2 linked regions of the Bombyx mori genome follow. The protein of the gene in region 1 purifies or fractionates together with the protein of each later gene. This does not show direct contact. Links are inferred from orthologs where the notes say so. Each region holds a gene or a part of one and is shown on either strand. Other genes may lie near its edges. The genes, in order: uncharacterized protein LOC101737130 and S-phase kinase-associated protein.

Evidence for each region.
Region 2: the proteins of uncharacterized protein LOC101737130 (region 1) and S-phase kinase-associated protein purify together in Drosophila melanogaster (affinity purification with western blotting; 3 studies listed by BioGRID, with this or other methods). This does not show direct contact. The link is inferred for Bombyx mori from reciprocal best matches to the Drosophila melanogaster genes morgue and SkpA.

What each region holds. Positions count from the first base shown.
Region 1 is NC_085125.1:4,946,029-4,958,085, reverse strand, and holds the start of uncharacterized protein LOC101737130, read left to right. Parts: upstream 1-3,964; 5' UTR 3,965-4,181; coding exon 4,182-4,286; intron 4,287-5,477; coding exon 5,478-5,714; intron 5,715-6,485; coding exon 6,486-6,708; intron 6,709-7,570; coding exon 7,571-7,746; intron 7,747-8,574; coding exon 8,575-8,697; intron 8,698-10,936; coding exon 10,937-11,079; intron 11,080-11,235; coding exon 11,236-11,407; intron 11,408-12,057.
Region 2 is NC_085119.1:7,149,946-7,161,069, forward strand, and holds S-phase kinase-associated protein, read left to right. Parts: upstream 1-1,167; 5' UTR 1,168-1,314; intron 1,315-1,405; coding exon 1,406-1,894; 3' UTR 1,895-2,574; downstream 2,575-11,124.

The sequences.
Region 1 (12,057 bases):
AGAATGTAATAGCTCTGAAATTTGTGATTAGAATTTGTTTCTTCATGAAAGCTACATTATCAGCAAGTAGTATGGGCTATAATATATATACAGGGTTACGTCGACCTATTCCTGTTAAGGGCATGTAGTTTACATAGTTTCTGACTGATTTGACTATGAAACACCCTATCATCAATCTAACCAATTTAGAGATATTTGAATATAATTGTTTTTTATAAAATTACCCAAATTTTGGCTATCAGCTTAGATATTTTGAAATGCATTAGCCTAATTATCATTATTACTTGATTTTTACTTGTAAAATAAGATGCTGTATGACCCCTGTAACCAATATTGTATGTAAAATGAATAAATAAGTCTATGTAGATAATTAAAACTTATAGAAACCAATTAAAAATTAATTTTTAAAAATAATAATAATAAAAGTTAATTTTTCTTTCAAGGATATCTAAAAAAAATATTATGGCGCCTGTTTGGCAGATGTACTTAACAATATCTATGTTTCATCAGCTATCTAACAAGGTATAACGATCTAGGTTTTTATCAAAAATTTGTAGAAAACACTTAGTTTTATAGGCTACAGGAGAGGCTAAACAAAACAATAAGTGAATATGTACAAGATACTAAGTTTATTAAACTTTCAAGTTCCAAAAAAACATCTTAAGTCTAAATTTCATATTCAACATGTCTGCCCGTTTTGCACACATCTTCGCATTGTTTTACAAAGCGCACCGCATTAACCTTGAAGGAGAATTATTATTGGCGAGGGACTGTTAGAACTGCTACCTGGGGGCTCGCAACTAATTTTTTTTCTATGATGTTTTATTTAAACCCTAGATTGTTATACCTCGTTGGATAGCTGATGAAACGTAGATATTGTTAAGCACATCTGCCAAACAGGCGCGATAATATTGTTTCTAGATATCCTTGAAAGAAAAAAAATCTATTTTTTATTCGCGTTTATAAGTTTTAATCGCCTGTGACTTATTTATTCATTTTACATACAATATTGGTTATAGGGGTCATACGGCATCTTATTTTACAAGTAAAAATCAAGTACTAATAATAATTATACTTATGCATTTCAAAATATCTAAGCTGATAGCAAAAAATTGGGTTTTTTTTTGTATTTAAATTCAAATATCTTTAAATTGGTTAGTTTTATGATAGGGGGCTTCATAGTCAAATCAGTCAGAAACTATGTAAATTACAGGCCCTTAACGGGAATAGGTTGACTTAGCCTGTAACCCTGTATAAATATAAATTAAGCTATAAGGCTCGCCCATTGTGACATTTAAGTATCTTGATGTACAATTAAGTATATTTAAATAAATAAACCCTTATGCACCCTTTCGTACACTAAGCTTCAAAACTCAAGTGCAAGATACATAGGTATAAAATTATATTAATATCTAAATTTCAAATTAGATTCTCTGCATTGTTTTTATTATTATAGTTCAATCATGATTATGATTAATTCCAATTTTTCTTGTTCAAAGATTTACAAACCTTCAACTAGGACATTGGAAGTTGTAGGTTCAATAACATCCAAATTCAATGTCTCTTGTACTGAGGAGGCAAAGCTTACTCCTAAAGAATTTTTTTCTCTTTCTCCCAGATCAGTTTCTGTAAAAGTAAAAAGAATCTATATATCTGTTAAAACTAGTTACTACAGTAACACAGTAAGTAACTTTTTTTACCGATTAAATGAAGCGATGGAACTCCCAAAGCGTCCACACGATTGTATCGGTTTTTATTTTCTTTTGCAAAATGCCGATCACATATGCGTTGGTTTCTGTAGTATTCATAGTCCTCTGGGGTATCCAGTTTACCTCCAATTGCTTGAACCCATGCCTTAAAACGTTCAGGTTTACTCTCTAGGCTGGGAAATACGTGAAACCTTACACCTGAAAAAATTAAGTACGATATGTATATACTGTTGATAACAACCGGTAAGCACTGTCAGAGACAATTGATTATCTAGTGTATAAGGGATTTCATTATGCTACTTCTATTGCTATAATTCAGCTCTAAATTATTATTAACAGCAAAGTACAAAAAACACATCAAGACAACTTTATCCAAGATTCGTAACCTGTACAAACATTCGATGTTAACATAAATTCTTTGGGCAATTTTATTTAATTTATAAATTTGGTAGCAGTTGGGCTGAATCCATTTGGTATTATTGATTTGGACATTTGAAACTGAATTATTCTAGAAGTTGTATAAGTATAGAAGCTTACCAGGTTCTGGTGCACATTTTAATATACAGCGTCTCGGCATCGTGTCGAAGTAATATTAAGAGCACAGAGAAAGTATACACTTGAGCGTCTATTCCGCAAAACCAACACAAATAGCGATAGCGTCTTATCACGAACGTCTCCCGGTCAGTAGCCGGCAGGCCGGCACACAAAATCTATGAATTTATGATATAAACTTCACAGAAGCGCGGAGGAACACGGAGCTCGACTACACACACTATCTGGAGTATCACAAACACGAAGAAAACAGAATTTATCACAAAACGCAACGAAAACTACAAACACGCGCATACGCAAATTGCAATCGCCATTTTGTGTCACTCAAATCTGACAACTTGAAAACTGTCGTAGCGTTGTCACTGACTGTCGGTAACTATGCGATGGAGTGGCAATGCCATCTTACACTTTTTGATGAACTATTATGTGGCTTAGTTTTAAGAGCGGTGTATTAGATGGCGCGACTGTGTTTTATAAAATATGTTTGTAGGCTACTGTCCCGGCCCTGGCTAATCTGCAAAAACGAGATTGTAGGTATTGGAGGGTGTCTGTGTGTGTGTGTGTGTGTGTGTGTGTGGGTCGCGTGAGCAAACACCACAGTCGCGTAAGGCATGACAGGCTGTAAGCAAGTTTTCTAAAGTGTCACCTTTTTCCGAAGGGACATTTTACTCCGTTTACAGACAATGAGGTAGAGCCTGCCGAGAATAAACGCGGCACGATCGCAGACTGATTTTATATGTGGGCGGAATGTCATGGATGCATCCAGGGTGACACCCAGGCGATTGACCGAAGTTGGCCGAAGAGGGTGATCGGGGGTGTGAGATTCCTCCTCCTAATTCGGGCGGAAATCCGCGTGGAGTTTCCCCTTTGAAATAGCATCGCAGTGCTTTTCGCTGGGTTGATGTTTATGCACCGTTTTCGGAACGACGTGTTTCCTCGCGATTAGGGACTTGTTTCTACTCGAATAGCATAAAGCCGTGTCGTCGGCGAATAAAGCTCACTCGTAAGGTTGGCGGCGACCGGGCAATATCGTTGACGAATAAACTAAATTAAAATTAAATAGAAGCGGTGAGAGGACCGAGCCCTGCGGGACTTCAGTCGTGAGCGGTCGCGGGGAGAAGCGGGTTCCCTCGCCTCGAAATCAAAAAAAGCGGTTTGACAAGAAATCCCGAGCAATAGTTTCAAAATCAAACCGTTGTGCCAGACTTGGTCGAACGCTTTTGCCACGTCGAAGAAGAGAGCTCCCGTATACCTATAGCGGTATTGATCGGTTAAGTGTTTTATTTTGTCTATTTAGTGTTTCTTCAGGTTTAAATGTGTAATAACGGTGGTTTATTAACTGTTTACTGTCTAGTATCTGTGAAAGTCTAGTAACTGTTTAGTATCTGTGAAAGTGCCCAAATGTGGGAAAATGAAACCAAGCCGCTGGACGTAACTTCTTGGGATCCTCCAAAAAGTCCACTGAGAAAGTCTCAGTAAATGACCACCATTTTATCCAGATTATGTTTCATCCCCATCTCATCTCATTTCATTTTATTTCATACCATGTTTCGTAATATTAATCAACTTTGTTGGACGGTTAAATTTGAGGGGATTGGTTTCTGTAGGCTGATGAGAGGCTATTACACTGATATTAATAATGGCCAACATGAACAGTTTCCTTCGTTTTTTACTATTCATAATTATAGAAATCATAATACTTGACACTGGCTAATGCACAAACCGTGCCGGAGACAAAAAATAAAGAAGAAGAAGAAAATCACAGATAAACACTATAATTTATTTTTATGAATAAACAGTAAGGAAACTGAATTTAGGCTTTGTATTAATTAAATAAATACCTAAATAAAATCCTGCCTGCGAAGTCTGTAAAACTGCAAAAGTTCAAGTGTAAAATTAATACATCATCAAGTGCCAGCAATGACTGCTATAGGTCCGGAATTCATTGACTATATAAAGAAGTTAGAAGATAACTGTGACAAACTAGTGACTTCATATGAACAACCATTTGATTTTGAGTATGATGTGAGTAAAATACTGATTTCTTAAATATAACATTAGGTTTTTACAGTAAACACTACAATAAAAATAAACTTTACACCCTGGTACATTTTATATTCTACTTGATTTTTCAACATTGTAATACTAATTGAAATAAAAGCAAACTTCACTGGACAACTAAGAAAAATGGTTTCTCTAATTTTCTAACATTGCAAAAGTTTTCAAGTGGTCTCTTCAGGGCCAGGTTAAATTGAGAAGAAAATAGGAATTATAGTTTTCTAGAAAATCTTTGCAATGCCTAGAGGGTTCAAAGGTGAGGACAAACCCTTATAATTTCATGTCTATTGTATTGCACATTGTTATTAACTAAAAAATATTAAGACAAGACACCAAATAGGAATCAATGATTTTTTAAATTTGCCATAGTAAAAAAATTTAGATTTGTTTGTTTGCTTGTTGGCATGTTTTAAATATATTGCTAAACATAATTTCATTATTTCCTTGATGCCATCCTAACACCTACAATGAGAGTTTGGGACAAAACAATAGTATAGTAAGCGGCACGTAAGTTGGCAAGGTTTTGGTGTAGTGGGGGTAATGTCGCGCATAGTGCACATTGCAACAAAAATATGGTCACTTTTATTGCCCGCATATAATTTTATTTTATTTTATTTTATTTTTTATTTGCCATAATTTGTTTTTAAGCCTGTGTGCTTAGAAGAAAGTTAAAGAAAAGAGAGGAATTCGTGAAGTGTATTAGTTGTTATAAATAAAATACAATTAAAAGGTAAGGAGTTTATTTAAAAAAATATACTTAATATTAAAAATTATGTGTCGCCGTCGTTACTATCATTTTCTAATAGTGCTACCCCTTGGATTAAATTTATGGTAGCACCTGAGCTGGTGGAAGGAGTTGGCTCTTCATCGTTAACATAACAAAGCGTCGCTGTCGTCACTGGCGTAAATAATAAAACGCTCAGTGACTGAATCGACTATATGGTCATTGGTATTTGGTCCTGGCATTACAAACAAATTTAAAAGAATAACGACTTCTGTGCATCTAACGACTCTTGCTAAGTTACGTGCTGGGGACTATACTTTTGTTTTAATTAGTATTTGAAAAATACTTGCTTATCGAAATTTGAAAATATTAAAAAAATTCCATACAAGCATCAATACTTATAACATAATTCATACATATTACATGTTTTTCAGAATTCAACATGTCATGTCTGTAATGGATATTATGGCCCTAGTTTTGGGGAACCAGTCTGCGTCACTTGCCATGCTTTTCTATTCCCTGATTTTCCATCATACCTTCCAACTTCCTACTTCTGTACTGAAAAAACAGATGATGGTGATTCTGGCAATGATGAACCTTCGGATCTCAACTACAGCTCTGAAAGGAGGTTACATAGAACATGTACATTGCCAGCTTGGTGGTATTATAGGGTAAGTAAATGAATTCAAATAAAAGTGTGCCGTTGCTCTCTGATTTATCTGTAATTAAAATTTTTAGGTATATAGGTTCAAACTTTGATTTCTTTCTGTCAACTGTTAATGGCACTAACATTGTGATAGAAACATCAGCAACTACAATATCCACTGCTGACGGATGGATTAAAATTCAATTTTTAAAATTTAGAGCTATAAACTACATCTAGTTAAAAATGTAGATTTTATAGTTACAGCGGTTGATATGTTTTTAGTCAGAACTTTTTTTTTTATTGCTTTATGGGTGGACGAGTTCACAGCTCACCTGGTGCTAAGTGGTTACTGGAGCCCATAGACATCTACAACGTAAATGCGCCATCCACCTTGAGATATAAGTTCTAAGATCTCAGTATAGTTACAACGGCTGCTCTACCCTTCAGACCGAAACGCATTACTACTTCACGGTAGAAATAGGCAGGGCAGTGGTATCTACCCGCGCGGACTCACAAGAGTAATTACGCAAGTTATAATTTTGCGGGTTTGATTTTTATTACACGATGTTATTCCTTCACTGTGGAAGTCAATCGTGAACATTTGTTAAGTACTGTTTTGTTCTCTGATGATGCTAGCTACCATGTGCCCTACCAAGAGAACAATCTAATATTTATTTTTTCTGAAATTAATCTTTAATTATACTAATAAAATAGCATAGTTTGTTATTAAGTTGATTAGTGTAATATCATTTTATCATGAAATATTTTATATAGTAAATAGAAGGTATTTTTTTAGAACTCGTTAGACAGTGAGACAAGTCCTGAAGATGAGGTAAGCAGGGCTAGCAACTCAGGCCCGGGTGCAAGCAGTAGCAGTTCAATGTCAGACCGTGCGGTGCAAGCACCCCCACCGCCTCCTCCACCAATTCCGAGTCTTGCGCGATCTTTACACGCCCTTTCAACACCACGGCCACCTGATAATTTAGCTCCAGGACTAGTTGAACATTTACCATCAGAAGGTATATTAGCCATTTCAACCCAATAGTTTCTTTTTTTTAGAACTTTGATGGGTGGACGAGCTTACGGCCCAACTGATGTTAAGTGGTCACGGGATCCCATAGACATCTACAACGAAAATGCCGCCACCCACCTTGCAACAAGAGTTCTATGTCACGGTTTTATAGTATAATGGCTGCCCCATCCTTCAAACCGAAATGCCGTACTTCACTGCAGAAATAGGCAGAGTGGTAGTAGCTACCCATGAGGTCTTATAATACGCCCCACCATAAGTAATTACGCAAATTATAATTTTGCAGGTTTGATTTTTATTACACGATGTTATTCTTTCACCGTGGAAGTAAATCGTGAACAATTGTTTAGTACGTATTTCATTACAAAAACTGGTACCCGCCTTTGGGATTCGCGCACCGGTGCATCGCTAGATACGATTGCACCGGGCGTCTTATCCTTTAGGCCATGACGATTTCAAAACGTTCTCTTGTGATATGGCTAAAAACACACAAAGAGGCATTTTAACATTGAGTAGACGTGTGAACGAATTCATGCTTTTTGATGTTTCTTGAGGCCAAGTATATTCTGGCAGCGCATGGTGTTTTTCCCATATTGGCTTAGAATACGCTCTACCACCAGTCAATAACGGTCGGCCATGGCAGCATGCTGGTATAATTGGAATTCTGTTGCCTATTCTCCGGTGAATTCCTTAGTCTATTTTTACGACGCCTCTTAGTCGACTTTTACGACGCCCCTTAGTCGACTTTTACGACGTCCCTTAGTCGACTCTTACGACGGCCACAGGAAGGCATCATGCTATTCATTGCCAGCTAGCCATGTTCCTACATTCGTATTTATTATTGTTTTCAGTGTTGTTGTGCATCTTCAGTTACCTGGACGATTTGTCGCTATGCGCCTGTTCTTGTGTGTGCACGCGATGGTGGAGGCTGGTACGAGCCCGGGTGTGTCCAGGACGGTGGGAGGACTTCGCGGCCGCTCGTTGGCCACTCTATCGTCCACTCGCCACGCACACCGACTGGCACAAGGTAATGAAGATGATAATAATATAGTACATTGTGCGCCAAGAGAGAAAAGTTGGGCATTTCCTCCCGCGTGTAAAATTGCCACCCGAGCCGAAGCCGAGGGTGGTAAACACGCGGGATAAAAACACGCGCAACTCATAAAAAAAACAATTTAACTGTTTTTGAATTTTTAAATAAACAACTACTAATTGAATAAGAACTGTCTGATGAACTCATATTTGTTTAATACTTCACTATTAAATTTTTTTGCCTTTTGTTTATTTCACTTTTACACTAAGCACAAGATTGCAAATTACCCGAGCACAACAATGGCGGAGAATTTTAGGTGCGTAAGAGCAGACGCAGATACTAACGCGCATGCGCACTTGTCAGTATCCAGGGAGGAAAAGTCACACTTTCTTCTCTGTACAGCAGGACGCAAACCGAACTTTCGGCGTCGGTAGGAGAAAAAATACTTATTCCAAGCTTAATTGTAAAAAATCATATATAAAAAAAAGTTTATCATAAAATAAGTTTATTTAATATAATTCAATTATGTATGGATTAATGAAATATATAAATGGGTGAAATGTAGTTTCGGTTCAAATTGTTCGTCAATCTCTACTTGATTAAAATACTTTGACAAGTTCAGTTTGTTGATTTTAATATAATTTCTGACTTTGATTGTACTCGGGATTAAGCCGCTTTCTCAAATCAATTGTTTGTGACCTACTTTTTTTTTTAAATACATTACTGCTGCAATGAATCTTGAATCTTTATTAAGATGTAGTTTTTGACGTGGAAATGTATATAACTAATGTCAGTTTACTAAACTTTTATATATATTTTTAGAAGTATCAATCTCTAGTGGAGTCATGTTTCTGCCGTAACTGTCTGGTGCAAATGTGTGTACAAGCTCAGCCGGCCGGAGAGGAAAACGCTTGGAGGAGAAACAGGCTTAGGATAGAACTCAAGGTAAATATTAAAAGTTTTTTTCTTTTTTAATTCTTTATTAGAGCCATACACCTATTGGGTTAAGTCGGCTTAAAAGTAATTTTATGTTAAAATGCATTGTACCCCATTATGTTAGTAGTCAGCAGCAAAGGGATTTTGTGATAAACAAAAGCAGAAAATATATACTTTGGCCAAGCGTGACTGAATTACTTATTTGATTATGTAGAAAGACTGAGATGGGAGTAGACAGCTAATTCGAACTATAATAAAAATTTAAATCTCTGATTTCAAAATTCAGACAGAAAAATGTTTTAGTCATGTTTCAATTGAAATTCTATTAATGTGATTATGTTATTTTAGCCACAGTGGAAACCTGCTCTACTATTCTCTGGAATAGAGTTGTAGGGAGTCAGTTACCTTCTGTCGTTTTCATTAAGTCTTCATACTGAGTATTTAAGGCAGTTTTTCTGTTAAAGCAAACGGTCCTATGTTCTGATTATTTATATATGTAATGATTTATTTATAAACTTTACAGGTATCATTTAATACTTTTCATCACTTTATATTATTATTGTAGTAATTAGAACAGCACTTAAATTTACAATTATAAACACAAACTCGAAGTCGTCGTGGCCTAAAGGATAAGACGTCCGGTGCATTCGTATGTAGCGATGCACCGGTGTTCGAATCCCGCAGGCGGGTACCAATTTTTCTAATGAAATATGTACTCAACAAATGTTCACGATTGACTTCCACGGTGAAGGAATAACATCGTGTAATAAAAATCAAACCCGCAAAATTATAATTTGCGTAATCACTGGTGGTAGGACCTCTTGGGAGTCCGCACGGGTAGGTACCACCACCCCGCCTATTTCTGCCGTGAAGCAGTAAGGGGCCATCCATAAAGTACGTCACACGAATTTTAGGACTTTTGAACCCCTCCCCCCCTCCTTGTCACAGGTTGTCACATTTTTATAACCCCCCCCTCCTGATGTGACGTCACACATTTTTTAAATTTATGTATGTATTTAAAAATAATCGAGAGAAAACAGCTATTTTCATTTTTTACTTATTTTTATTAAATAATAATCTAATAAAATCAACATAAAGTCCAACATTTCATAAAACCGAAAAAACAAACGACTAGTTAGAAAATAATAAACGATTAATTATATTAATTAAAGATAAAAAAACTTAATTATCGAGTGTCCATGGACTTTGGATCCACTCTTTTATATCAGCTATTACTGGTAAATCAGGCACTTCATTTTTAATTATTTATTATTATTAATAAATATAGATCAAGTTTGTAAATTTTTAAAATTTTTAATTCACATACAAACTTTGCGTTTTAGTATTTTAAATTTTAACATGTGACGTCACAAAAGTATTGACCCCCTCATGCCCCTTGTCACACGATGTCACACTTCGGTGATACCCTCCCTCCCCATTAACGTGTGACGTACTTTATGGATGGCCCCTAATGCGTTTCGGTTTGAAGGGTGGGGTAGCCGTTGTTACTATACTGAGACCTTAGAACTTATATCTCAAGGTGGGTGGCGCATTTGCGTTGTAGATGTCTATGGGCTCCAGTAACCACTTAACACCAGGTGGGTTGTGAGCTCGTTCACCCATCTAAGCAATAAAAAAAATTTCATGTCATCTTTGAATGCAGTTCTAATAGACAGTCAAATTTAATTCGGGTTTTTTTATTGCCTTTCTAGGTACACGAGCATACAGCTTAAGTGGTTACCGTCGCTTATGGACATCAGCAATGCCAGGAGCAGAACAAGCCGCTGCCTACTATTCAATGCGTACCATTCAGGTCAATTTGCACAATTAATAAGTGGTTAAGGGTGCTCATAGACATCGGCAATATCAGCGCCATAGACAGACCGCTGCCCGGGTTTCTCATTTCAAAAAGTTCATTCAAGAAAGACATGCATTTGGAAATGCATATCGAATGGATATCGATATACATATATGGAATGGAATGCTCGATCGCGTACGGTTAAAATGAAAAGAAACGATTAAAATAAATAACTTTAGTAAAAAAAAAGATGTTTAAGATGGCTGAATGACAAGTGAGCTACTTTTAGTTGTGTTGTTACAGAAGCTTACAGCTATCACAACGAGGCGTATAGTGGGACCACTGACCTGATTATATATGTAATTAAGCATATGAGCATACAATGAACTCATCTAAAAAGTTTTCAAATTTACTTTTGGTTAAAGTAAATATTTTTCTTTTGATTCGCAGATGCTACGCAACGATCCTCCGGAAGGCATAGCGGCGACTCCGCTGGACCCGAAGTGTTGCCACTGGCAGGCGAGCGTCACCGGACCTGTCGGCTCGCCCTATGAGGGCGGAGTCTTCTACCTCTACATTCAAGTGCCATACTCGTTAGTATAATTAAAAAAAAAAATTTGCTTACACGGTTGGACGAGCTCACAGCACACCTGGTGTTAAACCGTTACTGGAACCCATAAACATGTACAACGTAAATGCGCCTCCCACTTTGATTATGATGTTGAAAGTGAGTCGCTCTCGCGACGCAGGTATCCGATGAGTCCACCCGTGGTCCGGTTCCTGACGCGCATTCTGCACCCCAACGTGTCGCGGCACGGCGACGTCGGCATCGACTCCGTGCACCACAACTGGTCCCTTGCGCTCACGCTCAGCAAGGTGCTCATCTCCATACAGAGCCTGCTCACTGACCCTTATACTGCCGTAAGTATTGCATATCTCAACTGCAGCCCTAGGGAGGTACCCCCCGCCATCTGACGGCCGGACTCCGCGCTCTCCTCATTATTATTTAGTTTGTATATCAATGATATACCCCGGTCTCCGGAGACCCATCTAGCGCTCTTCGCTGATGACACCACTATCTACTACTTTTTTTTTAAAGGGATTTTATGTCCTGGTAACTAAGACCTTTAAGTCATGTCTTATACTAATTTATATTCTTATTTTTATGAAAAATGATAATATGGAGTGAAATGAAATGAAATGAAGATGATTAATTTGAGAAATTAATCAACTGGGATGAAATTAAATTAAATGAGATAATATGGGATTAAATATAATCTAAGTAAAATGGTGGTCATTTACTGAGATTTTTCAGTGGACTTTTTGTAGAATCCCGAGAAGTTACGTCCAGCGGCTTTGTTTCATTTTCCACATTTGTGCACTTTCACAGATATTAAACAGTTAATGAACCACCGTTATTACACATTTAAACCTGAAGAAACACTAAATAGACAAAATAAAACAAATCACACAACTTCACTCCTCGCGTCCCTAAAGTCCCTATCTACTCGTGTATGAAGAAGTCGCTATTGCATCGACGGCTTCAGATCGCAGTAGCCACCATGAGACAG
Region 2 (11,124 bases), on another chromosome or scaffold:
AAATAGAAATTAAAAATTTTGTCTAAAAAATAAAAATAAAAATTTAGGGGTGGACTACCCCTAACATTTAGGGGGATGAAAAATATATGTTGGCCGATTCTCATAGATACCGGATAAGCACAAAAAATTTCATCAAAATCGGTCAAGCCGTTTCGGAGGAGTATGGCAACGAAAACTGTGACACGAGAATTTTATATATTAGATTTCTTCTTTACTCCATTCACAAGTTTCTTTTTTTTTTTAGTTGTGTGGGAAACTAAGTGTGTATCTATGGTGGGAAATGAATGTTGGTGTTGGAGGGACTTTTTGGCGGGAACGCGAGGAGTGAAGTGGTGTGATTTGTTTTATTTTGTCTATTTAGTGTTTCTTCAGGTTTAAATATGTAATAACGGTGGCTTATTAACTGTTTAATATCTGTGAAAGTGCACAAAAGTGGGAAAATGAAACAAAGCTGCTGGACGTAAGTTCTCGGGTTCCTCTAAAAAGTCTACTGAAAAAATCTCAGTAAATGACCACCATTTTACTGAGATCATATTTCATCCCATATCATCAAATTTCATTTAATTTCATCTAAGTTGATTAATTTCTCAAATTAATCATCTTCATTTCATTTCATTTATCTCCATATTATCATTTTTCATAAAAATAAGAATATAAATTAAAATAAGACATGACTTAAAGGTCTTAGTTATGAGGTCATAAAATCCCTTAAAAAACAATTGGTGTTGGAGGTACTTTTGGCGGGAGCGCGAGGAGTGAAGTTGTGTGATTTGTTTTATTTTGTCTATTTAGTGTTTCTTCAGGTTTAAATGTGTAATAACGGTGGTTTATTAAATGTTTAATATCTGTGAAAGTGCACAAAAGTGGGAAAATGAAACAAAGCTGCTGGACGTAACTTCTCGAGTTCCTCCAAAAAGTCCACTGAAAAAATCTTAGTAAATAACCACCATTTTACTGAGATTATATTTCATACCATATCAACTCATTTCATTTAATTTCATCCCAGTTGATTAATGTCTCAAATTAATCATCTTCATTTCATTTCACTCCATAATAAAAAATTTATAAAAATCTGAATATAAATTAAAAAAAGACATGACCTAAAGGTCTTAGTTACCAGGTCATAAAATCCCTTAGAAAAATTTAAACGAAAGCAGAAAAAAAAACAAAATTGATTAATGATTTTATTCATTCGTTCACTCATTGATTCACTGTTTGGGTTTAAGGAAAAATCTCCAGAACATAAGGGCATTTTCGTTTGAAGATAAATAAATTTCACTTAATTGTGAACATTCAAATACTTGAAAAAACAAGGTAAATACTTCGCTATTTATAAATTGGAAAATGGCGTCTTATTCTCAGCCGTCGTTTTATGATTTACGTTCCCACCGCTCTTTTGTTCTAGATGCCAAATATTAAGTTGCAATCATCAGACAACGAGGTCTTCGTTGTTGATGTTGAAATCGCCAAATGCTCCGTAACTATCAAAACTATGCTAGAAGACTTAGGCATGGAAGAGGATGAAGAGGAAGTTGTACCTTTACCTAATGTCAATTCTGCAATACTCAAAAAAGTTATTCAGTGGGCTACTTATCATAAAGACGATCCTCCGCTACCAGAAGATGACGAAAACAAGGAAAAGAGGACTGATGACATATCATCATGGGATGCTGATTTTTTGAAAGTTGACCAAGGCACACTCTTTGAATTAATATTAGCTGCAAATTATTTGGACATCAAGGGTTTATTAGATGTCACATGTAAAACTGTAGCAAACATGATCAAAGGAAAGACTCCTGAAGAAATCCGTAAAACGTTCAACATTAAGAATGATTTCACTGCTGCAGAAGAAGATCAGGTTCGTAAAGAGAATGAATGGTGTGAAGAAAAGTAAACCATAATAAATGCTATTTGCAAGCATCTTTATGTATTATCACTATGTATGCAACATTAAACTATTTTTCCCATGGCAATAAAGAATAATTAATTTAAACCAAGTAAATTTGTTTGTGTTGTAAATTATATAAAAATAGGTACATCATGTCATTGTGATTTTCAATAAAATTTAAATTTTCATATTATCATTTAAATTACTTTTCATTTAACTTTAATTGTATTATATTTATTGGAAAATTTACTTTATGAAATAGAAATAATTAGCATAAATCACTGACTTAAATTTTTGTCATCTGCTTATTTTTTAACTAATTGTGTGGGTAGTCTTGATTGTGTCCAGAAATTGCCAGTATCCATTGCAATGTTAAACCACAAAAATAAGTTTGTCACCATCAATGTCAATACAAAAAGTAAATAAATATACAGTCACAACCGTTTACTGCGACATCATTTTGAGCAACATGCTGGTTATAATAACCTAGAACAAAGGTCCCGGCTGAATGCTATATGACCGCCTTATTAAAAACATTGCTTTATACGACATTGCTAATACCGACATACCTAATAAAATGACCACATTTAACTAATATTTCGGAGAATTAGATCTGTTAGAACGACCGGCTAAGCTGTATTGTAAACAATTTGAATAGGTATCCACATTTGTCTTCAATGGCTATTAAAATCAGGAAAGAAAACAATAGGATTTTGTTTAGTGTAGGGTCTTTTCTAATTCTTAGAAACAAAAATGTGTATGCGGTAGAGTCAAAGCCCACTTCTTCATATCTTTTCAGTTAGTTTGTTACTTATCTATACACAAGACACACCAAAACTTTGTGGAGTTATTCGTGAAACTTTCAAAATGTTGCAAAGAAAAAAAACAAATTAATAACAAAGAAAAATTGCGTTTTGTGTAAATATATTTTTCCAATAATTCACTATCGATTTGTTTGTACTTTGTTTGTACTTGCACGATACACATTAAACATCACTGGTTGTTACGACTGAATATGAGCAGTCCCTTCGATGTTGTTATAATAGATTTTCACTGTATATGTATGTATTTGATAACCACATTCCCTTAGTCAGTTCCTGATGCTAAGATAGAATTAAACCATCAGCATAACAAATGAAAATAATATATATGAAACAATTTTTTCCTCTTAGATATTTGTCATTAAAATTACTTTTAAAGCTTAGTATATGAACCCATAGTCAGAAATGTCCGTCTGCCTCTTTCAAAAGAAACTGGAAGTGAGTTCCAGCAATTTAATTTATATTGTGCTACATTGTATGCTATGTAAAACAAAATTTTAAAGGTGATTATTTTTTGTTGGATTGTAATTTTTATAATTAAAAAACTACTTTTACAGTTTATCTTGAGTATATTATTATCAATTTATAATTTCAGTTTCAAAATCTAACAGTTTTTGTGGTCATGGATAAGAGGTGCAAGTAAACTATAAAATTTGTAATGAAAAAAATCTTATTGGCAATTATTTATTGTTTACAATCATTATTATTTTAATAATAAAATATCATTACAAATGAAAAAAAATAATTAATAATAATTATCAATTATTTATTCTCTCCTTTTCATAGAACATAATGTTTAGGTCTCATAGTTTGTTTGACTTGGGGTTTCATGTAATAGTCAGATGATTACTTTTTTTCTGATCCAACCTTTTTTCCTTTTATTTACAATAGCTTCATGAGCTATTTATGGAATTAAGGATTGTTTAGGGTGTATTGAGCCATGTTAAATTTCACTATTAGCACTGTCCAGAGTATGTTAAAATAAATCAGACTTATGTTGGGTTTGACATCTGCAATATTTTCCTTAATTCGTAACTAAATGTGCGTGTTACTCCAATGCTATCCAATGTATGAGGTTGCTATCTTCTCTCTACCTCCCTTGATGTACAGCAGGAACAATATAGCAGTAAATAGAGCGACCGGTCGACGGTGTATCGCGTCCCGACCCGGCAGGCTGGTTTTGGTCCAGCGGGGTATTCCGGGACACCAGCGGCACCGTCTGGGCGGCCCGACGGGCTGCCGTACCGAGACGGCCGACGTTTCAGAGCCTTCGATTCGCCTCGAAGGCTCCGTCGGCTGGGCGTCCTTGGGGTTAGCCGCGCCGTCTGGTTGTAGTGTTGACCGCGGTAACGCCCCTACCTCATCCGGGTTCTGACCTCGGAGGGGATCGGACGTCGGGTGTAAGAGTGCAGGGGAGTCGTTTAGTGGGTGGGCCCTAAAATCCTTGGGCCCGCGGTCTGTTCACAACACCATGCAGATCGTAGTCTCACATACCCCGCGCGCCCCTTTTGCGCGGGGACCTCGTAGGAGGTTCGGCCCTCTACCCGAAAAAAAAAAAAAAGACACATTCCTTCTTCTTTTTGTTAGCATTTTCCTGGTCTAGTGCCAAGGAATATAGCTCATTCCACTGGTTTTTTTTTTTTACATAATGTTCTCATTGTGTTACATTTACCTTGAGCTCTCTATTACAAATACAAATATCAAAAATATATAATTGCCATAGGTCATAACGGAATTCACCATTAAAGTTTCTATTATTATGGTTAAGTTTCCAAAACACAGTTATTGACTAATGGTGTTATTAGAATTTCTGAAAATCAATGTGTATAATAAAAAAGCTAATTAATTGTGTGTACTAAATCCATGATAAAAGTGATCTATTATTATCATGAATTGAATTCTAAAGACTTACCTAATTTTTTCTTATATAATACTGTGAAAGAACAGAAAGAGCATCTACCATTTGTAAATCTGGTATTGAACAGGGCCAAATGATGATGTTTTAAATTCAAAGTCCTCCATGAAGATATCAGACGCTAGAGATGTCACAGAAGATCATAAGGCTACACCAAGACAATCTTGCAGTAAAGTCTCTTAAGAAATGAGTACCTAGATGTTGTTCATTTAGATTTTAGATTGTTCTGTACTATTCCAATAATCCCATTTGTAGAGAAAATGAATTTATGATATTTTGTCGTCTTTTTTTTCCTACCTAAGCTGATAGCCTTGAGAGGCTATTTCAGCGGAACCTTAACTAGTAGGTAAGCTCACGGGGCTCAAGCCTGACGAAGTTGCTAACACTAACCGTAGCAAGAGCCGTGCTTCGCAGAATCTACCACCGAATCGGGAACGCGACCCACTGAGAAGATCCGGCGAGAAACTCAATGGGCTGTGTCTCAGGGTTAATTTACTCGTCGAGCCCTTCGTCGAAAGCGACGGGTTCGACGAGAACGGTGACCGGTGCTTGAAGTACCTAAAAGCACCATTAGTGGATCGGGAGGATCCGAAATGACATGCTTGGGGCGACGTCAACTGCTTTCCATTCTTTCCGCAGGATCTGGTTTTGTCGTCAATCGATTGATATGATTCTTAATATCTTCTGGTTGTATAAGTAGCTGTACATGCGTCTTGCGAAAGAGCAACCGGGTGAAGGATGGCCGTGATCACCGACCCATACTAGTTCTGACCCAGTGGTGTATTCCGGAGTTACACGTTGATTTTTTTTTCTTATTGCTAATATGAATGGTCCAGAACATGGCCCGCCTAATGTTAGGTTGTCACCGGAGTCCATAGACATCAACCACGTCCAAGCCGCCGCCCATCTTGCGAAATGAGTTCAAAGTCTCAGTTTTTACAATACAACGGCTCCCACACCCTTCAAACCGAAACGCCTTACCGCTTCCCGGCAGATATAGGCAGGATGGTGCTACCCACCCGTTTGGGCTCACATGACACCCTACCACTAGTAATTACGCAAAAATATATGTTTTTCGGATTGACTTTTGTTTCACGGTAATCCTTCATCGCAACGATCCGGTAAGTATCTTCTATGTTAGAATGAGTGACATAAATTGATCAATCATCACACAACGATCCGGTAAGTATCTTCTATGTTAGAATGAGTGACATAAATTGATCAATCATCACACAACGATCCGGTAAGTATCTTCTATGTTAGAATGAGTGACATAAATTGATCAATCATCACACAACGATCCGGTAAGTATCTTCTATGTTGGAATGACTGTCACTTATGAAGAAGTTATCGATGCAACTAATGATGGGACTGTTGAAATGTCCGTGGTAGGAGCCGCACGAAGCAGCACCGAGAACAAGTCCGACAAAAAACACCATAGCTAGCATAAAGACCAATATACACCGACATTTATTCTTTGTGGATATTAATTCTGAGCATAAGTGTAAAAAATCATAAATAGACCTGAAATAGAAAACTATGTTTTAGTTTTTGAATTTAAAAACTACTTAATTGCAAGCTAGATTTAAATACATTTTTTTAATATCTATACTTATTGTTATGACAAGACTAATTAAATCTACAGCAAATCAACTTTTTTTTTTCTTAGACAGGTGAACTAGCATACGGTCCATCTGGTGTTAAGTGGTTACTGGATCCCATAGATATCAACAATGTAAATGCTACCACCCACCTTGAGAATTAGTTCTAAGGTCTTAGTGCCAGAGTACAATGGCTGCCGAAAGGCATCACTGCCTCAATGCAGAAAATAGGCAGGGTGGTGGTAGCTATTTGTGCGGACTCACACGATGCCCTACCAAAGTAAATAGGCAATTTTTTTTTCGTGTTTAATTTAATTACACGATGTTATTCCTTCATCGTGGGAGTCATTCGTGAACATTTCTTCAGTACGTATTTCATTAGTATAATAAAACACGTAAAATATAATAATGATAGGTGGTAAAATGACAATGTGTTCGAAGTATAATTCAAATAATAGAATATGGAAAAGAAGGTTACAACAATTAGAGAAATCTAAGATAAAGTCTGACTCACCTACAACATCTTGTATTGTCACAGAGTAACTTGTCTGTTTCATCTAACAAGCGCTGAAGTTGTTGCTGCGCTAATGTAATTACAGGACATTTCTTGTGTAATATATTAGCAATTTCACCTTCCGACTCTAAATCACAAGTACAGCCAGGAGGAGACTCTGCAGTAACAATAATTTCATTTCCGCCATCGCTTCTCGGAGAAACGTCTGCGGTGTCTGTATTTAAATCGTTATTGGGACTCTGCGAATCGACATTGTAATCATCTCGTCGGATTTTCTTGTATGTTTTCCTGGAATATCTACAAATATTTTGTATTTGGTAATCATCCATTGTTCAAGCATAAAATTATTATTAATTTAAATTGATAAATAATACAAGAGTTATCGTCCTGTGACTACGTTTTGCGGCCCATATACCTATGCACAAAATGTTTCGTAGTTTTTCTACGTTATGGACTACTTTATAGAGTTTTTTCTACGACTACTGGCGTGTAAAAGTCTAAAGGACATGCGATAGTTACCTATTTAATTTTGTTGATAGCTATGATGTCAGATGGATAGGTGACAAATAGTGACAATGATATATGACCAGTACTCGGACATAGAACGCAGGTACGTTTCTTCTAATTCAAATTCGAATTTTCAATACATCTTGTCTTCTATATATTTAATACATCATGAATAAATGAGCTACTTTAATTTTTTATTATTTTTGTTTGTAAAAGAGCGAGATCTAAATTCTTTGTTGATTATTCTCAAGGGTAATACTGCATTCCGAATCAGCGATAAAGTGATGTCGATTTAAAAGTGAAAGCCTATTCAAAGAAAACGTTTTTTGTATGTTTCTTATGTAGGCTCTTGGTTAGATCATAATATTATTATGATACAAGCCAAAGAGGCGAATGATGAAGATCCACATTACATACGCATCACGGTGCTCAGACCGCCATCGTGCAAAACAGCCCACTGAGTTTCTTTTTGAATGGGTCGCATTTCCCATCCGGTGGTAGATTCTGCGAAGCACTGCTCTTGCTAGGGTTAGTGTTAGAAACGTCGTCAGCTTTGAGCCCCGTGAACTCACCTATACACGTTAAGGCGAAGCTGAAATAGCCTCTCAAGGCAATTAGCACAGGTAGGAAAAAAAAATTACCACCCCGCCTATTACTGCAGTGCGTGAAGCAGTAATGCGTTTCGATTTGAAGGGTAGGGTAGCCGTTGTAACTATATTGAAACCTTAGAACTCATCTCAAGGTGGGTGGCGGCATTTACATTGTAGATGTTTATGGGCTCCAGTAACCACTTAACTCTAGGTGAGCTGTGAGCTCATCCACCCATCTAAGCAATAAAAAATAATAAAAAATAAAACATGGAAATAAATCCAATATTATGAAACGTCATTGTTTAATAAAATATGTAATAATTTTTTATTACATATTTTATTAAACAATGACGTTTATTTATTTTATTTTATTTTATGAAGGAGTTTTCTCTCGAGTTCTTGACTCGGTTTAGTTCCTAGCTCCCGCCCTGAAACCTTCAGGGAAGAGGAGGTTCGGACTCCCTTTGAATTTATGAAAACTGTATTACCCAAAACTTTACTTATTATTGTGCATGTGTGTATGGCTGCTTGTTTTTGTATTATGTGTATGTTTATATTTGCTTCCAGTTTGTTTATGTATCTATGTATACTTTTTGCCACTACGCCTGTTGCGTCTATTACTATGGGGATGGTTTCTGTGTGTGTATTCCAGAGTCGTGTTAGTTCTACTTTTAAGGGGTGATATTTACTAAGTTTTTCCAGTTCTTTTGGTCCTATATTGTAGTCAGATGGTACAGTTATATCTATTAAGTAGGTTTTATTTTCTGTCTTGTCTATGTATATTATGTCTGGTCTATTGTGCTTTATTGTAACGTCCGGCTGCACTGGTATCTACCACATTAGCTTCGCGGAGCTGTTTTCTTTTATCTGAGGTTGAGTCAAATTCACCTTCCACCATAGCGAGTCTAATTCAAAATTGTGTTTTCTTCCTATTGCCCACCAAATATACTTTACTATGTTGTTATGTCTGTTCACATAGTAAGTGCCGGCCAGTTTTTCACATCCCGAGATTATATGCTCTATGGACTCGTCTTTTGCTAGGCATAGGCGACACTTACCATCGACAGATTTCTTTAGAATATCTCTTTCTATTTGTCTCGTAATTACTGCCTGATCTTGTATAGCAAATACCGAAGATTCTAAAGTGGGGGACACGATTTGTTTCTTAAGCCAGCGGAACGAATACTCTCGATCTATATTACCCTTCTCTATAACGGACCTACGGAATTGTCCATGTAGCGGTTTCTCTTTCCATTTACTGATGCCCGTCTTTATTACTGCTTTCTTAATTTCAGTATCGGTGTAGTTTCTGTTTTCTGTTAATTCTATTCTTACTGCATTATTTTTACCATCTTTGTGTATTGAATGTTTATCTCTATGTTTATCGTGTTTAACTATTGCTTTTATGATTTGGTCCTGTTCATTGTTTAAATATTGCCTAAATTTAATAATCTGAGTTTTGTGTAACATTTCTATATTTATAAGTCCTCTGCCTCCTTCTTCTATGGGTAAATAGAGTCTTTCGATATCCGCTTTTTGTTGTTGGGCTTTATTCAAAGTGAATATCTTCCTTGTCTTTATATCTATTTTGTTTAAGTCACTATTTTTGTAGTTTATTATTCCAAACGTGTATAAAAGAACTGGTGTGGCATAAGTGTTGATGGCCGTTATGAGGTTTCTCGCGCTAAGTTGTGTGTTAGTGATGCATTTTACTCTTTTGAAGTACTCTCTTTTCACCTGATCCTGAATTCTTTTATGATCTATTTTGCCTGCTTCATCTATACCTAAGTATTTATAATTTTCGTCTTCCTTCAAATGTTCGAAGTTTAAGCCACTCAACAGTATGTGACCTTCGCTCTGGTGCTCAGCTCTCCTTCCAGATGTTAAATGAAGCACATTGCGTTTATTTAAGCAAAATTTTTATTATTATATTAATTAATTAATTATTATATTATATATATATTTTTTTTTATTTTGCTTAGCTTAAGCTGAAACTGTAAGTAGACCTTAGATCAAAATCGTAGGACTTTCTTTAGTGTCATTGGTGGTAGAAGCGTAATGGCTGACTTAATCGTGGGTCATTGTAGTTGCTCATGCAGTTGTAATATCACGGGCACAGTCAAACTGCAAAGGTAGTTGATACGATGTGATTTCTATCATTATTTCTGTTGTAATACTAGGTGTTACCTTTTCCTACAAAATTGCCATATAATATGCACAAAGTTAGTCATATTGCGGAAGCAGGGCTCTACTCCAGGAACTTCGGCAAACATTTTTGCCGCCTTCCATATAGATCTGGAATTAACTCTGCTACTCAGCGATTGCCAAGCGCTATATCAAGTCTTTCAAGACAGTACCCAACGTTAGGCTGCGGCAAGCCCAAGAAAAAAATCTACCCAAAACCAGTTCAGTGATATACACACCTATGTGTTTGGTGCAAGTTTTTTAACGTTCTCGATAGCGTAAAAGGTAGCCCAATTTTGTATGCAGTTGGAACAGCGCCCCTAGCGGCAAACGTAGGCAAACGATTCCATTCCATACAAATATGAGCTAACTTTTACGCTATCGAGAACGTTAAAAAACTCGCACTAAGCACACTGAACTCATCCCTCTTGTTGATTTAACATCGAAAAACGAAATAGGAGGCAGCGACTCGGCTGGCTTGGCTTTATTATTGAAAATGTATAAGTAACTACGAATAATAAAACTAATCAGTAAGCAATAACGCACGAGAAAGCTCATATTATTATGTACACATCAATCTGTCTATTTCTTAGGCGAAGCGATGTTGCGCTGTGATTTAAATAAATGAGACAGCCGTTATACAACGCAATTGAGACTTCAACCTCATGTTTCAAAATGGATAACGGCATACACGTTATGAAGTTTATGGGCTCTGGTAAACACTAACACCGGATGGATCGTGATCTCACTGGTCCCACAATGCAATAAAAAATTATATTAAACTAGCTTTTGCTCGCGACTTCGTTCGCGTGGAATAGTTACTTTGGAACAACGCTAAACTTTACCGACGACTTCATTTACGTAGAAGGTGAAAATATTTTTGAATATGAATGTTAAGGAGCTATTTAAGTTACCAAAATCACGATTTTTAAACGAGTTTAAAGGAGAAGGTTATTAATTCGGCCACATTTATTTTATTTACGTAATAAATAGGTAACGTATTTATTTGCATAAGGGTTAATATCATTTTTATAAAAAACACCTTCACAAATAATGCTTTATTTTAGAACAAATTTGGTCAGCATGAGAAAAGTTATAGTGAAC